Linked DNA regions of Caenorhabditis elegans. The protein of the gene in region 1 purifies or fractionates together with the protein of each later gene. This does not show direct contact. Each region holds a gene or a part of one and is shown in the gene's direction. Other genes may lie near its edges.

Region 1 (7,554 bases):
TTTAATGATCATCAACTCCAAATGTTGTACACGGAACTATAAAAGACAAAACGGACTCCAAAAGATCTCCCTGAACAAAAATTTCATAAATAGGGATGTTTTATGGAGGCATTCAGAATAAAACATGTCGCAGTAGAGAATGTGCAAAACGCATTCGAAGTGAAAAGGGAAAAACATTTACGTTCAATTTGGACGAAAATTTCAGAGATGGAATAAAATTCATGAAAGGGTGCAATATTGAGTAATCAGGCGGAAACGTTAATCTTCTGTACTTCTAAGTTTAAAAGTTTGGTGCTGTAATTTTTTCGAAAAAAAAAACTTTGTTAATGAATGTTCGAATATTTTTCGAAATATCATTCAAGCGTAACCATAAAAATGCCTTGGAGATGTGCAAAGGTTGCAAAAATAAGCACGAAGGTTCATCATCATTTTTCGATTTGGTCATCTACATTGCTCATCCAGCGAATGAGCTCGATTCAGGATTTCTTGGCATTCTTGTCGGAAAAGGAAAAAATGTGTAACGTTTCAAATAAATGTTCCGAATTGGTGGAAATCAAAAAGTTTCAGCCATCTCTGATATTTTACAGATCGTCATGAAAATTCGGCAGTGGCATTTTTTAACTAATGTTTATTAATTTGATTATTTCAATTATTCTCAAAAATTGAAAAACTTTATGCTAATGATTTTTTCAAACAAAAAAGTTCAATCTCGAAATGTCGCAAATCTGAACATACTTGAACATGTTTGAAGTGAAAAATATTACGAACTTCACTTCAAAACACAGAAATCAACAGAAGGTGCGGTTTATTTTAATGAATACTGACGGAAAAAGCATTCGTATTGCTCAGCGTTTGCTCGCAGATTTGCATACGTAATAAGGAAACGGCTACAAACCGCCTCAAGTGAAATCCTCGAGTATTTTTAGTTGCCGAATGTGACGGAGAAGTTGAAATGCTCAAAATGATTATCTCCTCTTTCTCGTACTTCTTTTTTCTTATGTCTCTGTTACATTCTATTTTATATTGTTGCGATTTTGTGAAAACGAACTTGTTTTTTGTTTTCCGTGTGTACACTCATAAACTTTCTACTTTTCGAGGACATGTTGAATATTTTTTGGTGCATACTTGTTGTCAGCTAGACAAATATAGGTTATAAATATTCAATAATCATTATTTTGTTATGCGAATAAATGGCAATAAAAATAGATAGATAATTTACATACGGGCAAATATAGATGAAAAGTCAGAGAGCATCGATGATTCTGAGCAAAAGGAATGCATAGGAAACGGGTGGGGATGGAAAATAAAACAGAAAGAACCATTGCCATCTGGCTCAGGTTTTTTGAATTGCAAATTTGGGGAGAAATAGAATAAATAGGATAACAGTGGTGGAGATTTGACCAGTCGTTGATGCTTAACACTTTTTGAAAAGTATTGTTTTTTTTTATTTCTAAATTCCAATCATTTAAAAGTTTCAGAAACGCAAACATTTATTCAAAATGAAATTCATGACACTTGGAACTCTATTCCTTCTGATTCAATTTGTATATTCTGTGAGGCAAGAAGAGCCACCGAAAACACAAAAGAGCAGTGAAGCACAAAGTATGTATTTTCATAGAAATGTAAAAAATAACAAATAGCCAGAAACGCGAATGTTATGGTTTTAATGATTCTGTAAATCTCTGAAATTGCATTATTATAATATTTTATAATATTATTTTCACAGATTTTAAAGCTACACATGATCGGCTGAAACGCCAAAATGGATATGGAATGTGGAATAATGGCGGTGAAGGAGGCGGAGCTGGAGAAGGAGGAAATTTCCCAATGGGCAATTGGAATGGACCAAACTCCAATGGTAGGTACATAAAAATATAAAACTCAACTCAATTTGAAAAAAAAAACAAAAGACCTTTTTCAAGTTTCCGGTTTAGGCTACAGTGGTCCTCAGCAACCTCCTCCAGACAATAGTATCAAGGGAAGTGTGGGGAATAAAAATTCAAAGCCAGCAGAAGAGACTGAAAATCAGAATAAAGAAGATGGTCAGACCCCTTGGATGCCAAACGAAGGTTTTATGTCAACTTAACTTTTAATAGTAATTTTATATTTTTAGCCAATGGCCCAAGTGGATATAATAATGGTCCTCACCCAAATGGAAACTTTCCGAACTTGAATGGGTATAACAACGGTCCCAGTTCATTCAATGGTGGAAACACTAATGTAGATGACGGTATTAAAGGGAGTGTTGGAGCAGCAGTTGAGCCAACTAAGTCACCATACCCAAACAATGGGTATGGGTACGGAAACCGAAACGGTTATGGAAATAATTTTGGTTTCAATCGTATGGCCGGAGGTAATGGTTATGGAAATAGTTTTGGAAGACCCATTCTTCCGAGAGGAGAGAGATTTTTCCGTGGGAGACAAGCCTGGAGATATTAATTTTGTTTTTATGCATAATGGTAAAATTGTCATGTGATATAATATTTCTGCAAATATAATGAATAAATATGTTTTCATTACCAGTACATGTATATTCATATCTAGCTTGATTTTTTGTTCTACATTGTTCTACATTTATGATGGCTGATAGAAGGTTGCCTGGTCATAAAGTTGATAAAAACTAAATGCGAAAAAGCTGATAGGCAAGTAATTTAATTCGAAATTCATCGGCAGTCATGAGGCGAGAATTGGCTCTATTTCTTGTTTGTTCAGTATTTGCCACTGTTTTCGGGTATGATTTCGTTTTTTCATTGATTAGTTGAAATATTTATAGTTTAGAACAGATTCATCTCCATCATTCAAGATTGACACTGTGAATAGTCAATTTTTACTTGATGGAGATCCTTTCACCTACATTGCTGGAGAAATACACTATTTCCGAATTCCGCATCAAAAATGGGATGACCGTCTGAAGCGAGTGCGAGCGTTAGGATTTAATGCAATCACCGTACCAGTTCCTTGGAATCTTCATCAATTTTATCAAGATGAAACTCCTATCCTTTCTGGAAATTTGGATTTGGTCAAATTCATAAAAGCTGCTGAATCAAATGGATTGTATACGATTCTCAGAATTGGTAATAGTAAAATATGTATTATGGGAGAAACGTTAAACATCACCGTTGGGTTTTATATTTTGATTATGCATGTTTTTTTACAAATATTTTAGGGCTTTGACCACGCGAGACAGCTAGAGTTCTTCAAAGTCTAATTTTTTACTAATTACTTTTTTTTTACTTTTACTTTTTTTACTAAAAAATTTACTAAATTTCAAAAGTTTCTTTGAACTGAGGGAATATTTTGAAGATTAAGGTTTAGCGGTTGAATATAATAAACTATAGGGCCGTACATTTCTGCTGAATGGGATAACGGCGGCCTTCCTTGGTGGCTCATCAGGAATACGAAAATTGGAAAGTACCGGAGCAGTGACCCATCGTAAGTTTTTCTCAGCATTTTTCCTTGCTTTTTACACAGTATACAACAAACAGATTTATGACGGAAGTAACTCAATGGTGGAAACATCTACTTCCAAAAATCTACCCGCTCATGAGAAAAAACGCCGGGCCCGTTCTCATGGTTCAAATTGAGCATTTTTACGGTGCGCTCGGCATTTGTGATCAGCAATATCTTCTACAGCTTGCAAATATGGCGAAGGAGAATTTAGGAAATGATGTTGTTCTTTTCACTGTCAATCCACCAGTTCTTCAATTTATGAGATGTGGAACACTTCCAAATATTCTACCAACTATCGAAATTGTGCCAAATGCAAATGCCGGGGAAATTGAAAGTTGGTTCAGTATGCAAAAAGCATTCATGCAAGGTTTGTGAACAAATTTGTGAATAATTGAAACAATAAATAGTTCAGGTGCGCCGGCAGTTGCTTCGCAGTTTCTTATCAATCCATTCAAACTATGGGGCAAAAATGTTTCTGATCCTTACCCAAATAATCTTATTATTCAAACGGCAAAAAGTAAATTTGCAAATAACTTTAAAATTATAATTATTTTTCAGCCGCATTTGCATTGAATGCTAGTTTAAGCTTTCATATGACTCACGGCGGCACAAATTTCGGATATTGGAACGGAGCCGTCGATCCTTACCCTGTCACCACGTCATATGACTCATTTGCTCCTATTTCTGAAGCTGGTGATGTTAATCCACTGTATATTTCCATTAGAAATTGGATCAGCAACATTCCTGGCTGGCAGAATCCGCCGACTCCAATTCCAGCTAACTTACCACGGACTGCGTATCCTGACGTCCAACTCACAGTATTTGACACAATTTCTGGTTTCATAATTGGCGCAAATCCCGAATGCTGGAGCAGCCCAGAAACGCCTAGAACGGCTGAATATATTCGTCAAGGATATGGATACATTTATTATAATACTGTTGGTTTTGAGATTTTTAAATTTCGTATAGTGTTGGTTTTTCCAGACCATTATTGAGTGCGGATCCCTGTATATTCCAACTTTTGCTGACAATGCGTATATTTTCTTGAATCAAAACTTTGTGGTAAACTTTTATATTTGTATAGAATTTTTGAAAAGTGAAGAATTTAGAGCACAGTTGTAAATTTAAACCTGGCTTATTTGAATCTAAACATTTGAAGGTACTGAAAAAATTACCGTTATGGAAAAAGGTATTTTGAAATTCCAAAATTAAAAACGTGCCAAACTTTTATAGCTAATTTTAGCATTGTAGAAGAAGTTCAGGAGAATTCATTGCTTGAATATTTATGTCATGACTATCAAAATTGATAGCATAATTATTTTGTTCAGGGTGCCCTTTACAAACAATTTGGCTCAATTCACAATAACACCATAGATGTTCAAGGATGTTTGGACCAGTTCAACTCATTGGAAATCATAATTGAAATAACTGGTAGAGACCATAACAACTACCCTGTTATGTCAAGAGTAAGGCCCCAACGTGTACGTTTTCAATTGAGAAGTTTCTTCCAGGGAATTCAAGGAAATGTCTACATGCGTAACATAACTCTCGAGAATTGGGAGAGCTGTGAAGTTCCAATTGAAACATACGAAATTAGTTTGGTGAAAAATTACGAGAGTCTGAAGCAACATGTTTTCGAAACAATTGACTTTGAAGTATCAGCTACTTCAAAAACGTGCGTCATATATTATTTTATTTACAGAAATCTCAATCGGCAGCAATAGAGCAACCGTCGGTGTTCATTGGAAATTTAATAATCAAAACAGCTCCAGCTGACACTTTTCTAGACACAAGAGGTTGGGGAAAAGGCGTTGTGACTATCAATCAGTACAACATTGGACGATATTGGGCTTCTATTGGACCACAGGTGCCCAATTTACTGTTTTTAATATATTTTTCAAAAGTTAATTTTCAGCAAACTCTTTATATTCCATCGGAATTCCTTCACAAAGGGGAAAATCTCATCATGTTTTACGAATTTGAAGGCGCCACAACAGCCTGTACAGCAACTGCTTGTACAGCAAAATTCACAAATATCCCGGTGTTTGATTATTGAGATCGTTTATTGAATACTTATAAATGTAATTTAATAGTCTAGTTGTCTTCATCAGAACTCTCCGTATCCTGTTCATCACTTTCATTACTCAGAGGGTTTCTGTACAAATGCAAAGAACTTCCACACTGTTTTGCCGCTTCTGCAACAGTTTGTTTTCCAACCGGGACATGATCAACTGAAGGGAGAAGCTCAATTGTATCCTCTGAACAAACATAATTAATCAAAGATAATATTAAAAACCAAAGTACCTTTATCATTAAGTCTACTCGCACTTTTGCTAAATCTCGCAATACTAGTGCTTGGAGCTCTACTTCTTGATTGTAAATAAGAATGAATTCCAGAAGGCGCAGTGGAGTTCGTGTCTGGTCCCATGCTCAGAAGTTGCCTTTGAAGTGATAGTTCGCGGAGCTTCTTCTGATTGTCACGAATGCTAATGAATTCGCCCAATGTTTCACTGTAAATTAGCTATGTACAAACATGTACAATAACTGAAGTTAAAATGTAAAATATACCCAGACGTTTTGTCGTCTCTCCATTTCTGCCCTTCTCTTGACCCAAAAAAAATGAGCACGAGTGCAAAAACAAAAAGAATTGAAACACCAAGAATTATGGCAAATAAGACGATGCTAAAACCATGTTCTGAGTATCCATATAGTTCACGTGGGGGTTGTTCAGGTTTTTCGTTCAAATTCTGAAATGTAAAGACATTTTTTCTGAAATTTTTTTTTGAAAATTTCTGAAATTAAATTCTAAAATTTGAAGAAAACATTAATCACATGCCCGGTCCGCTTCTTTCAGGTTATGGTTACTTGCCGCAATACTTTCGTTTGCTATTTGCCAGCTCACCCCGATAACCGCACGCGATTATTGTGGCTATGTAAAATTTCAAGGCCAAATGCATATTTTATGCTTAACTGTCAAACTTTGCTAATCCGTCCATTTCCATCTCGCTACTACTTTATTCGAGCCGTTCAATTGGTTTGTTAAGCTATTCTTCAGTGTAAAATGTTGAATAAACTAATAATCAAATGAAAACTAAGTTACGGTCGCTTCAAAGCTGTGCATTTCTCAAAACATGTAGAGTTTTGTTTAAAAGTTACCTGATCTGGATTCGCTTTTGTCAGTTTCTCTTCTTGTTCATCCTTTATCAATTCATCAATACCTTCTCCTTCAAGAGATGAAATATTTCTCTGAATTAATATTTAAACATTTTAGAATGTTGACAAATTTAATTATTTTGTTCTTACTACCGCAACATTACACCAGTCCACCGGAAATGTTGGTGCAAAATACTTATTCATCACGACAGATGAGGGATTTGAACAAAACTCGGGCATAGTTTGTAAATTGTGTACAATTGACATGGTTCCGGGATAGAACTTTTGCTGTGTACCAACATACACCATTGTTCTGAATTTTTCAAAAACTGAATTGAATTAAAACATTTTTTTACCCGAAACTATTTTTGAAAATGTGCTCCTTGCCACGTGGAATAATGTATCTGGAGCGAACACCTGCAATATATGGGTTTACATTTCTTCCCCGGAATGTGTTTCGCAATGAGTTTTCTAGTTGACCTGAACAATATTATGATGATGATGACAAAAGTGTGTTTTTTATTACTCACTTATTTTTCTGTCTCGATTTGAAACTAAATCCTCTACATCTAGTCCATTTATTGGCAGTTCAAAAACTTGTTGCGTATTTCCTTGATACAATGCTGCAAAATTACAGTTTACTGTTTCTTTTTTTTAATGTTCTAAACTATAAACTAACAGTCTTCCACCAAATTAATCACCACCATTCTTTGCTGTATATCAAAATTATCCAGTCGTTTCGCAATCACGTGTAGTGTAACATGCTGCACATTTGTGACCGGTGTGCCTGAAACATACATAACTACGATAAAAATCATAAGATGATTTTATTTTTATGAATGTACTGGTGTGTTAATAACTAATCGATCACCTATTAGATAAGCGATTTCCGGGTGTCGCGACGGTAAGAGACGTAACCAGTTTGGAAGAGCCGGCTTTTTGTTTAGCGTA
Region 2 (9,336 bases), on another chromosome or scaffold:
CTTCATATCTCTTGCCTCTCTCTTATTATTTAGTTGCATCCTTATTAATTTCTAATTTTTGATTCAAAACGCCTTCTTGTTTACTTCAAATTTCTTGAAATTCCTGGTCTTTTTGGAATTATTAATCATGAATTTATAATTTGTCTAAGAGTGTTAATCTAACGTTTTCTGAAAGTTTGTGTTACAGTTCTCATCTACATTGGCAACTTGTCCTTTTAAAATTCAATGGAACGTCATTCCTTTCTTATTTAATTATTAGTGCATCTAACTTTATAAATAGAAATATAAATTATTTCTTCCAAATTTGTCCTGACTGCAAACGAGCAGACAGGAAATCATCTACGTCTATGCTTTAATGTTCACTTCCACTTTTCTCATCGTTTATCAAATTTAAATATTAAGATATTTATATTGAAACGCAATCAGTAAAATGTATAGTTATATGGCGTGCGCTCATTTCCTCCAAATCTCTCTGGAGACGTTGTTCCATCCGACGTCATAATTGAAGGTGTCTGCCTTCTCTTTCCCACCCCCTCATAACTATCCTTGTCTTCTGCTTTATACGCTTCTTCTTCTTATCGACGTCGTCGGGTAATCGGAGCTAATTTTAATGAATCACATACAGTGTAATTTGAGCCCGCTAACTTCGTCTTCTTTGACACATCTTCGTTTTCGTTTTTAGTACTCGGAAATATATATTTATAGGGCATTTTTCAGTTCCTCACCGCTCTCAACAACGGGCCACACGCTACGACAGTACGCAATGTACTGGTTTCGTCAAGTTTACAGGTGAGCTTATTTTGAATCTTGACGTCGAAAAAGTCCAGACATTATTCATCTTTTACCCTGCATCTTAATTCGAATAATTTTTCCAGACCCTCGTTCTTCTTTGGCTTTCTCGCGATCCTTCTCCTCTCGTCGCCGACGCCTTCAGACGCATCGATTCGACTATGTGGATCACGTCTCACAACAACCCTTTTAGCAGTATGCCGGAATCAGCTGTGCACTGGATTAACCGCTTTCAAACGTTAGTAATTCTCGATGGGGTCTCCGGGGGTGGAAAACCTTATGAAACATTCACGATGCTCAAAAAAGCTTTTTCTTCAAAGATACCAATGTTGAAGTCCATATTAATGCACTTTTGAGATACCTACTGTTTGATAGATTTTGAGTTTTGATTGATGGTAATTAACTACGTCAAGCTTGTCATTTGATAGTTGTCTAGAAAAAGAGAGATAATTATAACCACAAGACAATTTTAATGTTAGATTTTTTATATTGTAAGTCATGAGTGTTGAGAATACGTAGACAAAAAACCAAATGGATGTTGTCACTTTTAAAGTTTGAAATAGGTTCTGAAGTTGAAAATCATTAAATGACGTATAATTATAATTCACTAATTTAGTCACTGAATTAGCTTGAAATCGAATAAAGTGCATATATATTCCAAAATAGAAGCAAGAGACAAAAATAAATCAAGTATTTATAAGTTAGGGACAATGAATAAGTTTTTGAAATGATTATGAAACTATTAAAAACACTGATAGACTATCAATTACTTGATTTTTGTGAGAAAAAAAAAACAAATTTGATACGGATTGAAATGATCAGACAATAAAAAAACCGAAACCACACATGACTCGTTCAGCAGAAGTATGGATTGAGCTCCACACAGCCACACCTCATATTTTGAATAGATTACAACTCAGATCCATATTACAAAAAATATACAAACGCCTGTAGGCCTGTAGGCACAAGTAAACCTCTGTGTGTTCAATCAATATAATATATTTTGAAACTCCTCAGTATTTATTCTCCAATCAAAACTACAATCAAAATGTATTATTCAGGTTCCGCCGACCAATCCTATGCACCAACAACTCGCGATCTTTTTCACATTCACCACCAACAAAAGCGAGGCGGAATTGCGACAGAATGTTGTGAGAAGCGATGTTCATTTGCATATCTCAAAACATTCTGCTGCAATCAGGACGATAATTGATAACTTATTCATCATATTTTCTCATCATCGGGTCTCGTGCGCTGCATTATTAGACTGCGCGGAGGCCTCTGATCAGGTCAATATCGTTGGCAGCTCACCGGACCCTAACCTTTTCTTTTCTATCTGAAAATATTTGAATTGTTCTCTCCTCTCTTTGTTTTCTCTTCTCTGTCGTTGCCGTTTCCAATCTTTCTCTTTCTTGATAATAATCCAAATTTTTAATTGCATAATATGACAATACAAAGTGATAATAGTGAAATTGCCTATCCTTCCTCTATTTCCCTGTCCAACAGTTTCTGGTCTTTATTAGTTTGCCACGATATATCTTTCAATCCAGTTTGACCTGATCTCAACTTCACAGTCGTCTGATGCATCCATTCTTTTTAAATTTGAAAAAAATAAATTTAAATTTTGTTTCAATCTTAAACATTTTTTATCTTATGCATTATTAAATTGCGTAACTTATGAGAAAATCAACGAGTTTTACTAGTTTGACGTTCAAACATGCTGTCACATTTGTGATCAAATGTTGAACCTATTTATAGAAATAAATGGTATAAATTTTGAATGAATTTTTCAAGGTCGCCGATTTGCCGGAAATTTTCAACTCTGGCAATTTGCCGGTTTGCCGATTTGCCGGAAATTTCAATTTCGGTAACTTACCTATTTGCTGGAAACTTCGACTCCTGCAATTTGCCGATTTACCACTTTTCCGGAAAATTCGTCAATTTGCCAGTTTGCCGGCAATTCACCGGTTTTCCGATTTGCCGGAAATTTACAATTCCGGCAATTTACCGGTTTGACGATTTGCCGATTGACCAATTTGCCGGACTAACGGGCCTGTGGGCCCGCGAGCCCTTCGGGAATGGGGACTGTTTTAGAGAACTGGAAATATTAAAAGCTTTATAAATCAGGTGTTTTCTAATTGAAAGAAAAGTTGCATAGCAGGCTCCGGCCTGCCTATATCAAAAATAGTAAATATTTCCAAGTAGCTAGACTCTAATTGATGATTATTGAACTTTCAAACTTCTGTTTCTTTTCCGCCCCCACTCCTCTAATGTTTCAACTGTCTCCTGCGTCTTCCGAAATTGGGAGAATGGTGGAGCAAACAATTGCCACTGATAAGCCTCATTCAATTTGATAACATTTTTACTTTCTGTCTTTTTCTTTCGCTATATCAACGTACTACCTGCGTCAGAAAGTAGCACAGTTCAAGATGAACCTCGACGTTCCATCCGGTCGTCGGAAAACTATCAAATTTAGAACAAGAAATTTTTCTATTGAGGATGATAAATATTGGGTAAGTCGGATAAGAATTTGAAAGTATGTACATAATGATTCTGCTCAATTACGCAAAAGAATTAAAACATTTTTAGATACAACCGTCACGATGCACTTCCGTAGATATGTCGTCAAGGGAAATTATTAATAAGCTGAACGAAATGGAACAAGAAGTAAGAAATTTTTTTCGAAAGTTTGAAAAAATAATGATAGGATTTGATAAAAATAGCGATTTTAATGGATCCAAAACTATATTATATACTATATTATATAAACAAAACTATTATGTAGATATTAGAAGTTTTAAACATTGATAACGGTTTCTATGATGTTTTGTCAAAATATAAATAATTAGAATTTTAACTGCTTCCCTAATTCGTTTCAGGATATATTCTAGAAATTATCCAGCATTAATAAATAAACTATTGAACATTAATATAAACTTTAAAGGAGAAGCTGTTCATAACATATGATGTCATTGAACGTAATCCAAAGTTTGCAACGGTCGGTGGATCAATCTTTGAATTCATCAACAACACGATGCAACCTATTCTTAAATGTCATCTATCGCAAGTTAAAGACACAAACATGTTGCACTTAATCGCGTCTTCCTTCTTCAAAAGGTATGTTAAGATTTCAGGGATTTTGGCGGTTGAAAAAGCAACTAAAGTGTAGCTCAGGAGCGATCTTCACGAGATTTGGGCTAAATGCGAGTATCCGATTTTTGCTGGGTTACTAGTGGTATGTTTGGAAATATTTAGAAGAAATAAAAAAACAAAAATGTACAGATTCTGACAATAGAAATATTATGATTTCTTCACAGTGTAAGGTTTTGAACGGGACTGTTAATTGCAAATTTTCTATTATTCTTTTATCTCGTTACTCTAATTTTATTACGGTTTCTACATAAAATAAATAAAACTAATCAACTACAAAAAAAGAATTAACTATTTTTTATACATATGTTTCCGGAGGCCATGAAACCTGGTATTTAGATCTTTCAAGTAATGTTTTGCACTTTTGAATATTTCGATGAGATTCGAAGTTGTTTTTTTTCTTTATTTAAACTTAAAATTTTAACTAAAAGAAATCAGGAACAACAGAAGCCATTATTGCAGGTGTACGTCAGTGAAAAAATGAGGAAATTGTTTTCGGGACAACACGAGCCGGTCATTGCCGAAGCATTTGAAAAGATTCAAAAGTGAGTCAACTGTTTTTGTGAAAGGAAACCTAAAATTTGGATCTTAAATTGAAATTCTAAAATAGTTGAGAAGGACTGATTTATTTGAATTAGACATTGATCAAAGTTTGAAGTCAAATTTTCTTTTATTTAGAAATTAAAAATTGTTCATTACAAATTAAATTCAAACTTCTCTATCCCAGACTCCGATGTATCAAGTGTGAATTCGTCGTAATTTTCTTAAAATTTCAGTTCGTTTGACGATGAATGCACTGCACTTCTAGATCAATGTTTTCATACAAGTGAACGAGACACTAGAGCTGTATTGGATACAAATTATCATTTATTTATCCATACAGATGGATGCCCTTCAGTTGAAGAGGATATGGAAGTGATGGCATTAGCGTCGGCGGCGAAGGCAAAAGTTTGTTATTTGAGTGGGATTAGAAGTGATTTATGACTCGAATTGCAGAACTTCCTATCTCATCCAGCATGCCAACGAGAAATTGACTTTCGATGGCAGCCTGGTTTCAAATTAGGACAAGTGAGTTTTATGAGCAAAGCAGGATGTTTGTGAACTAAAAGGAATCAGAGAATAAATGGAAATTAGATGAGGGTGGAGAAATGTAACATGATATGAATCTTATAGATCTTTTAATAATGGAACATTTCTGAACTACGAGAACTATGGTCAATTTTTCTTTAAAAAAAATGGAGGGAATCAATTTTTTAATAAATTTGTGCAATAAGAATAAAACCAAAATTATATTTTCAAAACAAATATACATATTAACTGTATTCATAATATAATTATTCCTCGTAAAATTGTGACGGTTTCAGATGGCATTCTTCTTATTTTTCTTTTTTCCGCCGTTGTTTTTCTTACGCGGAAAGCAGAGAATCAAGAAACGAGAAATCAAAACAATGATGTTGAAAATGGATCATTCTGGGAATATGACTTCTATTACTTATAGGTTTGAAAGTTCCAGTGAGGAAAAGTTTAAAACTACTCTTATGGTGCGAGAATAGTCACTTTAGTCATTTAAGCACCATGTAGTTTTAAATGTTTTCCCACTGTCGCTAGTTAACTGTCATCACAGTTATACGCAATGTTTCAATTAATTTCAGTAATTTTCTTATTCGAGTCTACAATTTCTATACATCTCCAAATGCAAAATATGTTATTCACACTCTTTTTCGGTTAATATACGTGATATTCTATGCATACGTTTTGATGACAATGACACGAAAAACAATGGTTATGAATGAATTAGACGAGTTTTTGGATGAAATGGCTATTATAGTTTGGCAGTGTGCATATCTAACTGAAATGGCTGTATTGGTTTATCAAAGAGTAAGAATTGCGAATATTATATCATGAAGTCAGCATTAAGACACATTCAGGGTTTCTATAATTGGGCTGAACGAAATACAGCTGATCTTTACCGTAACTATTTGGTTGCAATGACAATGATAGCCTGGTCTGTAGCTGTAATTGCTCCTCCAACATGGCCTATTCGAGCTTTTGCAATCATTTCTGCCGACTTATTCTTTTATTTTTCTTTCGTTTTTGCAACTCTCCGACTCATGAAAATTGCAAATGTCGATGCATTTTTTGGTTCAATTGTCCTTATGATCAAGAAAATGGTAACATAAAACTGTCTGATTGACTTATCAAATATCAGATTACAGATTCCAATAATGGTCAAATTTATGTTTGTGTTTATGGTATTTTGGTTCACCTATGCAGTTTGTCATATCAGTTTGGCGGGGCATTTGAAGAGTACTCCAAATATAACCGATGTCGTTTGGCCTTGGCTGATTTTCAGTAGTGGTGCATTTGAAATTTTTGGAGAAGCTGATGAGGAGGATAAACTAGGTTAGTTTTCATTTTTGGAAGATTGAAGGAATATATTTTTTATGGATTTCAAAAATTGAAACGTTTAAAAATATAAGTCACATCACTATGTTCTGCGTTGGTTTCAATCAGCTCCAAAAAACGTCCAGGTTTGTCCTCCAGCGTACGTCCCTACAACCTCTGCATTTGCAGTTAGCAAATGAAAAAATGTTCACTTTTATTTTGAAAGTAGGCGCAATACAGGAATACCTCAAAGATTTGTAGTAACTTTTGAGTCTGTTGTATAATTGATAGCACGCTTCTAATCAAAAGTCTTATTTAGGGACTGTCAGTAAATGCTCGTCAGCACCTCTGAACTGGGACGTCATTACTGATTCTTCGGTACAATGCTGGTTCAAAGTACGCAATTTTCTTAAGATCCAAAACTTTCATGAAAATATAATTTCCAGACAAGTATGATACCTGTATTCTTATTCTGTTACATGTTGGTCTCAAGTGTACTCCTTGTGAATTTGGTTACCGCACTCTTATCGTATGTTATCAGGGCGTAATGGAAAACTCCAAGAATAGAAAACCCAATGATAAAAGTTGAAATTTCCAGGAAAAAGTATGAAGATATTGACAAAGTTTCACATATTTACTGGAAATATAAACTGTATAGTCGGTTGATTGAGTGAGTTCAACTGAGGAAGAAAAAAAGCAAGACACATTATTTCCAGGTATGAAGAAAAATTATGGATTCCTGCACCACTCTCGTTGCTCTTTTACATTCTCAAAACTTTTTGCTTTTTTCTATCAAAAATTCCAATCATTGGAGTTATACCCAATTACTTTATGAAAATTTTACACATTTTCGAAGGGAAAGTATATGCAAAAGAAAGGAGGAAAAATCGAAAATATGAAGCAGTAATGAATGGATTAATATCTAACCCGAATCGATGGGATGGTCCTACAGAAGATGAGAAAAAGTCAGTGGAATTAGTCAGAGAGCAAATGAGCATTTTGGTGAGTTTCCTGCAATATTTTTGTCTTTATTGGTTAACTGACACACGGTGAGCTATGTACACTCTAGTGTGAGACGTTCAATTTTAATTTTGATTATATCAGTAGATAGATAAATAAATTTTCGTAAAACTTCTATGGAAGAGCGGTTTTTGAAAGTTAATAGGGTTTTTGAGTAGGAGCCAATTCACCGAGCATTGGCTGAGCATCTAACTCGTGGGAACGTAGTTTTTAATTACCCTACTGTACCTAACATTTGAAATTTCTACAATTTTCAGGAAGCTGACCGTAAAAGGAAACGCCTCGAGACGGACCTCATTCGAACTAGATTTGAGGAGATTATGTCTGAAATTGAAAACACGAACCGGTTCAGAAGAATACGATCTCAAACAACGTTCTAGCAATTTCGCGTGGAATTTATTATTTTAAACGAAACATTCAAAACGTGGAATAATATTGCACAACTTGAAAGTTTATGGAACATTATTTCAAATAAAGATGTATATTAAAAACTATCTTTTCGTGTTGTGTTGTTTTAGTTTTCAAATAGAATATGTGGAATCGCTAAAAGTAAGTTTTGTAAGGTGATTGAAACTGGACACAAGGCGGGCGGGCGTTTTCATTGCTAAAACTTCAAAAAACAATTACAATTGTCGGCAGCATTTTTCATTGCAAATTATCTATTGTAAAACATTTTTGCATACTAATGTAATTTGCACTCAGATAGCAATCAAACTATTCGAGAAAGATCCGAATGAAGTTAACATATTGACTTCCTTAATGAGAACGGGAGATATTCCTAAATTTGTTTCCAAGACAACTAGAATGTACCGTATTCAAGTGAGTTAAAATTTTCGCCATGTAAGTAAAGTCCGCATTTCAGAACGAAGTTTGCAACAAAACTGAAATATTTCAATTTTCGATCGGAAATAAAGTTGTCAGCTGTCCTCTTTACGATGGGTTGGCTTTTCTTGACAATAATTCAACACATATTGTGCAATGTCCAACATATTGTGAAGTTTGCAAGAAAATGTTCATTTGTTCGAAAAGATCATTGACAGGTCAGTTTTTAGAACTTTGAAAAATCACAATTTCTGTTTTCAGGAATCATCTACACACCGGATGGTCGCAAAAAAGATTCAATTGATTTTCAATATGGTTTTCTTGATCAACCTGTTGTTCGCGGCGTCGACTGGTCAATTTTTGTTGTGTATATTTTCATATTTGCCTTATGTGCAAATATTATAACTTTTGCGTTTTCAGATAATTAAATAATAAATAGTTTATTCAATTAAACTTGAATACAGATCAAAGCAAGCACAAAACTCATGCACGGGAATAGACTTAATCACTGGAACTATGAGTTCTATTTTCGAAAAAAACAATCTAATTTAAAATTGATCAATTACGAACCTGTACAATACGGAGAGACACAAAAACACAGAAATGCAAAACAGTTAAACTTTAAAAGCTCCTGGACACATAGTGAGACCTTTCGAATAGAAATCAGAACCCGTATCAATTGATTCTTGAATCAGCTTTTTCCAACATTCCATTCCCATAACACCTCCAAACTTCTTGAAACTTTTCTCGACCCATTCGTTGTTAAGGTACGTACTACGGTAGAAATCTCCTGGGTCACAAGCCAGTGTAACAATCGTAAGACGATGCTTGATAGCAGATTTTCTGGCTCTGAAAATTGTGTTCATCAAGATTTGATAGCCAAGGTATACGCAAGGTATATTGATACGCTTGCGTAAACTAAACTATTAAAACATATTTTTTAACGCAAAAATTTAAATGTACTAGTAAACGCTTAAGTCGTCAAAAGACAACGAATAAATACTCTAGACGGATTAGTTTGCAATGATGTCAGTTTGAATTACTTACTTGTTCTGATAGGCTTTGTAAAGAGAAACAAGGAAGTTGAGTGATGTTGACGGTCCCACATTATAACCTTTTTCATCGAGAATTCTCATTGTAGCTACTGATGCAATATCAGGCATTTTCATG
Region 3 (6,111 bases), on another chromosome or scaffold:
GGTACTGTGGCTGGTAAAAAATTGCACAATTATGAATAATGGTTTTGTGTTTCCGGTTTATGGAAACTGTGACTCAAAAAATCACACAGATTTCTGAAAAATTTGCATCTTAACAATTTAAAGAACTTTCCCAATACAGTAATCCACACATGCTCGTTCTATCGTAAAATCGTCGAACCTTTTATTACTTTTTATTTATTTATTAGGATTGTAAAATGTATCAATAAATTCGTCAAGATCGCCAGAGTACCACGAAACTATGATTGTGCGATCAATAAAATCTGCCAGAAACATCAAGTTTCTCATAAAATAAATCGCATTCTGTTACCACGGAGCACTATTCGATTTGAATATACAGAAGACAAAAAACTATGAATTTTTATTAGAAACAATACGAATAATATGGAAATATTACGGTGCATGGGATTTGGATGAAAAGAAAGGGAATTTCTATGAGATTCATAAGTACATTTGTAAGGATCCCGTTTTGAAATTTCCCCCCAAAAGTGCACCTTTAATAATTTTGTTTTAATTTTTTAAGTTTGAGCATTGCAGGGGTTTTAGTTTGCCGCAATGCTCAAATTATCTCAAAAAGTATTTTTTGGTTTATGAAAAGGTTATGAAAATCTTGAAAAGAAACACGTGAAAGTCTCAATTTAGAAACTTATCTGTTCAATTAATTTATTCTAACTTTTGTTCTGCGACCTTGTGTATTCGGTGAGTTTTCTCTTCGGCTCTTTTTTGGGGAAGCTTTGCCGGCATGTTGGCATAAAGACCTTCAAGGACTCCTGATTCTCAGGAATCTGGTGAAAACGTCCGGTTTTTCATGCTTAATGCAGATTGTTTTCTATCTGTAATTATGCAAGTTATTTTTTCAGAAAGAAACATGGCAGAAAATAGTGAAACACTTCTACAACTTGCCCATCTCGGTTACAGCATGCTCGCTCCAATGGTGTTCACCGGATACGTCATTGACAATGTGGAGGAAAGAAGAAGACTGGTGGATCATCGGGTGGTGGTGGAGCTAAAACTGGAGGAGGAGGAGGAGATGGTGCAACCAGTGCAAAGAGTGATAAGAAAGAAAAATCATCGAGTGCTCCAAACCCAGAGGGACCAAAGGCTCCAAGTGATAAGAATGCTGTCGCAGGGACACATGATCCAAATTATCAAACTCTTGCTGGAGTTGATGGAAATGTGTTCCAAGAGAAAGGAAAAGCTTCTCCTGTTGCTGCTGCTGGTGGAGCTTCTCCTGCTGCTGGTGCTCCAAAACCTGGAGGTCCTGGAATGGCTGGTGAGTAAATATTTCATTGGATATTCAGATTCAACTACGTACTAACAAACTAATCATATTCAGCCACCCACGACCCCAACTACCAAACACTTGCTGGAATTGGAAACGATTGTTTCGACAAGAAAGAAGGTGCAAAACCAGCTGGTGGTGGTGCGGCTCCAGGTGCTCCAAAAGCCGGTGGTCCTGGAATGGCTGGTTTGTTTTTGTAGTTCACACAATCAAAGTTCAAATTTAACTTTCAGCTACTCATGATCCGAACTATCAGACACTGGCTGGAATTGGAAGCGATTGCTTCCAGAAGAAGTGATTTGTGTCAACTCGTGCAAAATCGGTACAATAACGAAATTATGTGACAAATCAGCCTTTCATCTCGTCCTTCAAATAAAATTTTTCAGTTGAAATGTTTTGCTTTTTAGTTTTTTTTTCAATTTTCCAATCAATATTTTCATGGTGGATGGACTTTTCTGTTTAACAAAACGCCCTTATATGGTTCGGAGTCAGCACTAAACTTTCAGGGAGAAATTTTCAGTCGTTTCAATAGTTTAAACTGGGGGAACTGGAAGATGGACAGAATATCAAAGATTCTTAATTTCTGCATAGAAGCCGCAATAGGCAAGTTCCGAAAACGTTAGTATTCCTTAAAATGTTATTTAAAAATTGTCGAATCTTTCATTTTTTCAAACATTTTCATACACAAAAGCATAGTTTATCATTTACCAATTTACCAAACCAATAGGTGCTGTATTTCCGTACCCAACTAGTTTACTTGGAAAATGTATATCTTGGTTTATTTTAGAGATATCAATAAATGATCAACTACAAAATTATATAAAAAGATTTTGAAAATAAGTTTCAGTTGACAATTTTTGTATAGAACAAACGACAACTAAGATATAAGCTGTCAAAGTTGAACAATTGGGTGCAATACTTATAGGAGAAATACGGTAAATAAACTTTATTTATCAGGCTGCTTTTAGACAATTTATTTAATGTCCACCATAGCATCAGTTTCATTCATTGATCCAAATATTCAAATTTGAGCAAATTGAGTTCATGACTCTTCCCAAATTGTGTACCATTCCGTCACCACACCACAATAATCCGTCACCAGATACACCACCTTACCTGATCGTAAATCGTAATCTAAAAGGCGGCAACGCCACCTAATCCATTATTTCTATTAAAACAAAAAAAACAGCAGATGACCCCTTCTAATGACGTCATTGTTCTGAAAGATATCGGAGGCGGTTCGATCGTATTGTTGTTGTTGCGCAATGCAGCGTTCTGGTGAGTCTCTCCGCGCGTCTTGGATATACATGTCATTTGTGGTCACTCTTTATCGTGCACATTAGCGCATATGCACCGTGTGCAGACACATTTCGAATAGGTGACCCCTGTCTTTCTTTGGTCATTTCTATTTATTTTATAATATTTTGTTTGGCTCTTTTTCTTTTTTGAATCCTTTAGTTCTCTGTTGATCCCTTCTTTCTTTTTTTAATAGCAAAAACTTTAACTTCTAAAATGCTATTCTGGTAAATCAGTTCAATTCGCGCGCCTATTTTGTGCCTACATGCCTACCTTCTCCCACTTGTTAACACTTTTTGCTTGTTTGTTTTTCCAATTCTATAAACCTTTGAGGCAGGCACATGTGCCTGAAGGTGTGGCTGCCTACAATAGAAGAATTAGGTGCATCTATAGGCAAGCTGGGAGTATACTGTATCTAATTATATTTTTTTGTAGCTGTTCAACAAACTTTATATTCTAGACTTAAATACTTTTTTGACCTACCTCCACAAACTCGGCGGGATTTTTATCCAATTTATAGTTTTCATTCCTCAATCTTACTTCTTCTTTTCCCATTTTTTAGTCATTCCATCATTGGTTTTTGAAAGTTTTCTGGAATCTAACTCAACTTTCCTTTCGTTTCACTTTCAATTTATCGATTTTCAGATGCGTCTTCTGATTCTTCTCCTAATTTGCTCTGCATTCTCCACATGCTCAGTGCTCGACTCATTCCGTGCCAATGGAATCGAGTTTGAAGTTTACGGTGAAGGACGTCTGATTCCGGAGAAGCAACACTGTGTACCGTATACCTTGGATCTCAATGAGTTTGTCAACTCGTTCAACACGAACAATATGAATGAGTACAGTCGAGGGCTTCTTCAAAAGCGGATTTTCACGAGTTTCGACGCAATTTGCCGCAAATTCAATATCCAAACCGAGAACGAGCAACCAGAATACAATCTGACAGAGGATAGATCTCAAATGAGATATTTGGATTATTTCGACTACAATTGGAATAGTCTTCGATTCGAACGAGATCTCAAATCTCTATTTTTGGAGAATAAAATCAATAATCCATTCCTGGATTCAGTCACTGAAGAAACCATCAAAAGAGCCGGAGCCAACGATGTTCTAGACTTTGCTCAAAAGACAACGGTATTCCCGAAGACTTGCAACGTGAAACAGATGACTGTTCAGACGATGATTTGCTTCAATATTTCAGATATTCCACAATCTGGAACTATTTATGCGGTAAGTCCTTTGAGTGAATTTAAAGAAAAAAAAAAAATATAATTTCAGTTGGCCCATGGAGGAGAGTTCTTGCACAATGAGGAGGTCTATGCCTATTATGATATTCCACAATTCGTCCTGATCACTCAACAAGCTGTAATCCCAATTGAGCTTGAAAAATGCAAAGTTTTGGTTAGTATTACTGAATACTCTTTCAAATTAAATGTTTCAATTTTCAGTTCGGCACGTACATTTACTGCTTCGAAGAATTTGACACCCAATGCGACGTTCGTACTCTCTCGGATTGCCCAATTTACGCCTACAAGACCGAAGATGAGTTTGTCTTCCGCAGAAGCTTCGGAATCGGATATATTTACGCTACGACCGAGTCTGATGTTGATTTGTATCAAAATGGCACAAAATCAACCGTTCCTGGACGTGTCTTCGTGCTCCGAACTAGTTTTGGAACTCCAACCACTGAAAACGGATCACCAGTTATGATGCCCGATATGACACCTCATCACGAGCCGGAGAAGAGCCAATTCGCCGAATTGCTGCCAGAATCGCAGAAGATTCTGAAGTCCGACACTCCGACACGATTGTATACCACTCAACGACGTGGTGTGAACATGCTAAGCCATAAGCATTACGATCAAGGAGCCTGGGATGCCGTTCGAGACTTTTTCGGATTTTAATTGACTTTTAATTTTAATATTTTTTTCACCACGAGTACCAATTTCCATCAGGGATCCAATCCTTTTTTTCAAATTTCAATTTCCAATATGAATCTTTTAATAAAACAAGTTTGACAATTTGACACTTTATGCGTTAAAAAAAAGCAATTTATTTGAATTTCAGAGTAGCCGGAAGTTTTTTTGGGAAGTCAATAAAATGAGTATCAGATACATAGACAGAAAGTGTGTACCGAGTGGTGAATTAAAGAAAAGCTACAGAACAGAGAGCGAGATGAGTGAACAGAAGAAAGAAAAATAACACGTTGGGATGGAATTGACTAAAAAGATGAACAGGAGATGATGAGGAATTAAAGACGACTACAGTATGCACAACATGGGGATTTCAGGTGGAACAGAGCAAAAAAGAAACAAAATGAAAATGGTGAAAGATGAGTGAAGAAATGGTATAGTTCATATGTACACGCATTTCTATATACAGACGTTTGTAATGGGGACAAATACAGCCAACACTGCAAACCAAACTCGAAAACTTCTACTGGGCAAGAAAATGGGAATATTTTTTGCAGAAGGCATTCATGGTTTGGCAGTTGATGAGGAAGTCGGCGAGCACACGATTTGTTGTAAGGATTGCATATTATGGGCAGTTAACGAGGAAAGTATGGTTGAATCGACTGGTTCAAGGCACGAAGGACATGTGAATGACTTCATAAGCCATTCGTCGACGCATTCTTGATGAAACGAGTGCATGCAAGGAAGGAATCGGATTCTCTCTCCTGGCTCAAAGTCGATCATACAGATGGCACATCTGAAAATGGTTTTTTTAAAAATTTAACTAGAGCGCATTAATACTGATTATACAGGCGCGAAATTTTGCGCCAAAGTGCGATACACGGTCTCGACACGACAATTTTTTGTTTAATGCGAAAAGGTGTGAGCCTTTATAGAATACTGTATTTTCAAACTCTCCTTGCAGCGGAAATTTCATCATTTTTTAAGTTTCGTGAAAATGTATGTGATTTTTTAATCACATATATTTGAGTTTTCAAAAAAGAATTAAAAATCTATGAAATTTCCGTATATATCTATAGTTTAAAATTACAGTAATCTTTAAAGGCGCACACTCTTCCACAGTACACAAAAATTTTGTCGTGCCGAGACCGGGAACCATATTTTGTGAGTGAAATTTTGCGTCTGGGTGATAATAATTTTTTCAACACCTCTGCTGTAGCTCGAACAATAATTGATATTGGTCAGATTGTAGTTTGAATAATTTAGTTAATTTTTCATTTAGATCCGAATTTCAAAACTTACTCATTACTGGTCATATCTCCTCGAAATACATCAGCAGGGATTTGCTCGAGAAGTCCTCGAATTCGGTTTTTTTTTGCTTCGTCGAGTTCCTGAGAATTTTTTAAAATTTAATTAAAATTATTCTGCTCTAAACGCTCACTTTTCCCTGTTCCTGTGCTTGTCGTTGTCTAATTACGTTGTGTTGATAGAGCTGATTTACGTACGAACTCTGAAAATTTCAGTTTAATTAAATTCAGATTCTTCAATAATTTCTTACGCTTTGTTGCATCATTGACGGATTTGTGAAGCTCATCGCTGCGT

Evidence for each region.
Region 2: the proteins of bgal-2 (region 1) and F13B12.3 fractionate together in Caenorhabditis elegans (co-fractionation; one large-scale study listed by BioGRID). This does not show direct contact.
Region 3: the proteins of bgal-2 (region 1) and C01G6.3 fractionate together in Caenorhabditis elegans (co-fractionation; one large-scale study listed by BioGRID). This does not show direct contact.

What each region holds. Positions count from the first base shown.
Region 1 is NC_003284.9:6,781,759-6,789,312, forward strand, and holds bgal-2 (Glycoside hydrolase 35 catalytic domain-containing protein), read left to right. Parts: upstream 1-2,652; 5' UTR 2,653-2,675; coding exon 2,676-2,731; intron 2,732-2,778; coding exon 2,779-3,074; intron 3,075-3,338; coding exon 3,339-3,432; intron 3,433-3,485; coding exon 3,486-3,817; intron 3,818-3,862; coding exon 3,863-3,967; intron 3,968-4,008; coding exon 4,009-4,388; intron 4,389-4,434; coding exon 4,435-4,512; intron 4,513-4,778; coding exon 4,779-4,916; intron 4,917-4,961; coding exon 4,962-5,105; intron 5,106-5,152; coding exon 5,153-5,317; intron 5,318-5,365; coding exon 5,366-5,506; 3' UTR 5,507-5,544; downstream 5,545-7,554. Other genes in the region: idpp-6 (Prion-like-(Q/N-rich)-domain-bearing protein), read left to right, coding at 1,500-1,602, 1,727-1,858, 1,935-2,069, 2,114-2,439; sgca-1 (Dystroglycan-type cadherin-like domain-containing protein), read right to left, coding at 5,545-5,708, 5,755-5,960, 6,019-6,197, 6,607-6,696, 6,754-6,916, 6,960-7,083, 7,134-7,226, 7,283-7,390 and 1 more.
Region 2 is NC_003282.8:10,435,991-10,445,326, forward strand, and holds F13B12.3 (Ion transport domain-containing protein), read left to right. Parts: upstream 1-3,132; 5' UTR 3,133-3,218; coding exon 3,219-3,302; intron 3,303-3,378; coding exon 3,379-3,456; intron 3,457-3,733; coding exon 3,734-3,906; intron 3,907-3,958; exon of another isoform or gene 3,959-3,963; coding exon 3,964-4,024; intron 4,025-4,401; coding exon 4,402-4,484; intron 4,485-4,715; coding exon 4,716-4,887; intron 4,888-4,935; coding exon 4,936-5,007; intron 5,008-5,303; coding exon 5,304-5,437; intron 5,438-5,591; coding exon 5,592-5,817; intron 5,818-5,867; coding exon 5,868-6,110; intron 6,111-6,155; coding exon 6,156-6,342; intron 6,343-6,643; coding exon 6,644-6,720; intron 6,721-6,770; coding exon 6,771-6,853; intron 6,854-6,922; coding exon 6,923-6,994; intron 6,995-7,040; coding exon 7,041-7,326; intron 7,327-7,601; coding exon 7,602-7,724; 3' UTR 7,725-7,840; downstream 7,841-9,336. Other genes in the region: ins-1 (Insulin-like peptide INSL5), read left to right, coding at 764-789, 876-1,027, 1,851-2,002; F13B12.7 (Neprosin domain-containing protein), read left to right, coding at 8,104-8,163, 8,207-8,384, 8,428-8,594; Putative pyridoxal-phosphate dependent protein F13B12.4, read right to left, coding at 8,781-9,015, 9,214-9,336.
Region 3 is NC_003280.10:9,266,653-9,272,763, forward strand, and holds C01G6.3 (Lipoprotein), read left to right. Parts: upstream 1-3,235; 5' UTR 3,236-3,241; coding exon 3,242-3,826; intron 3,827-3,874; coding exon 3,875-3,997; intron 3,998-4,044; coding exon 4,045-4,500; 3' UTR 4,501-4,615; downstream 4,616-6,111. Other genes in the region: C01G6.2 (uncharacterized protein), read left to right, coding at 887-1,291, 1,355-1,486, 1,534-1,644; C01G6.4 (RING-type domain-containing protein), read right to left, coding at 5,074-5,305, 5,812-5,900, 5,951-6,019, 6,068-6,111.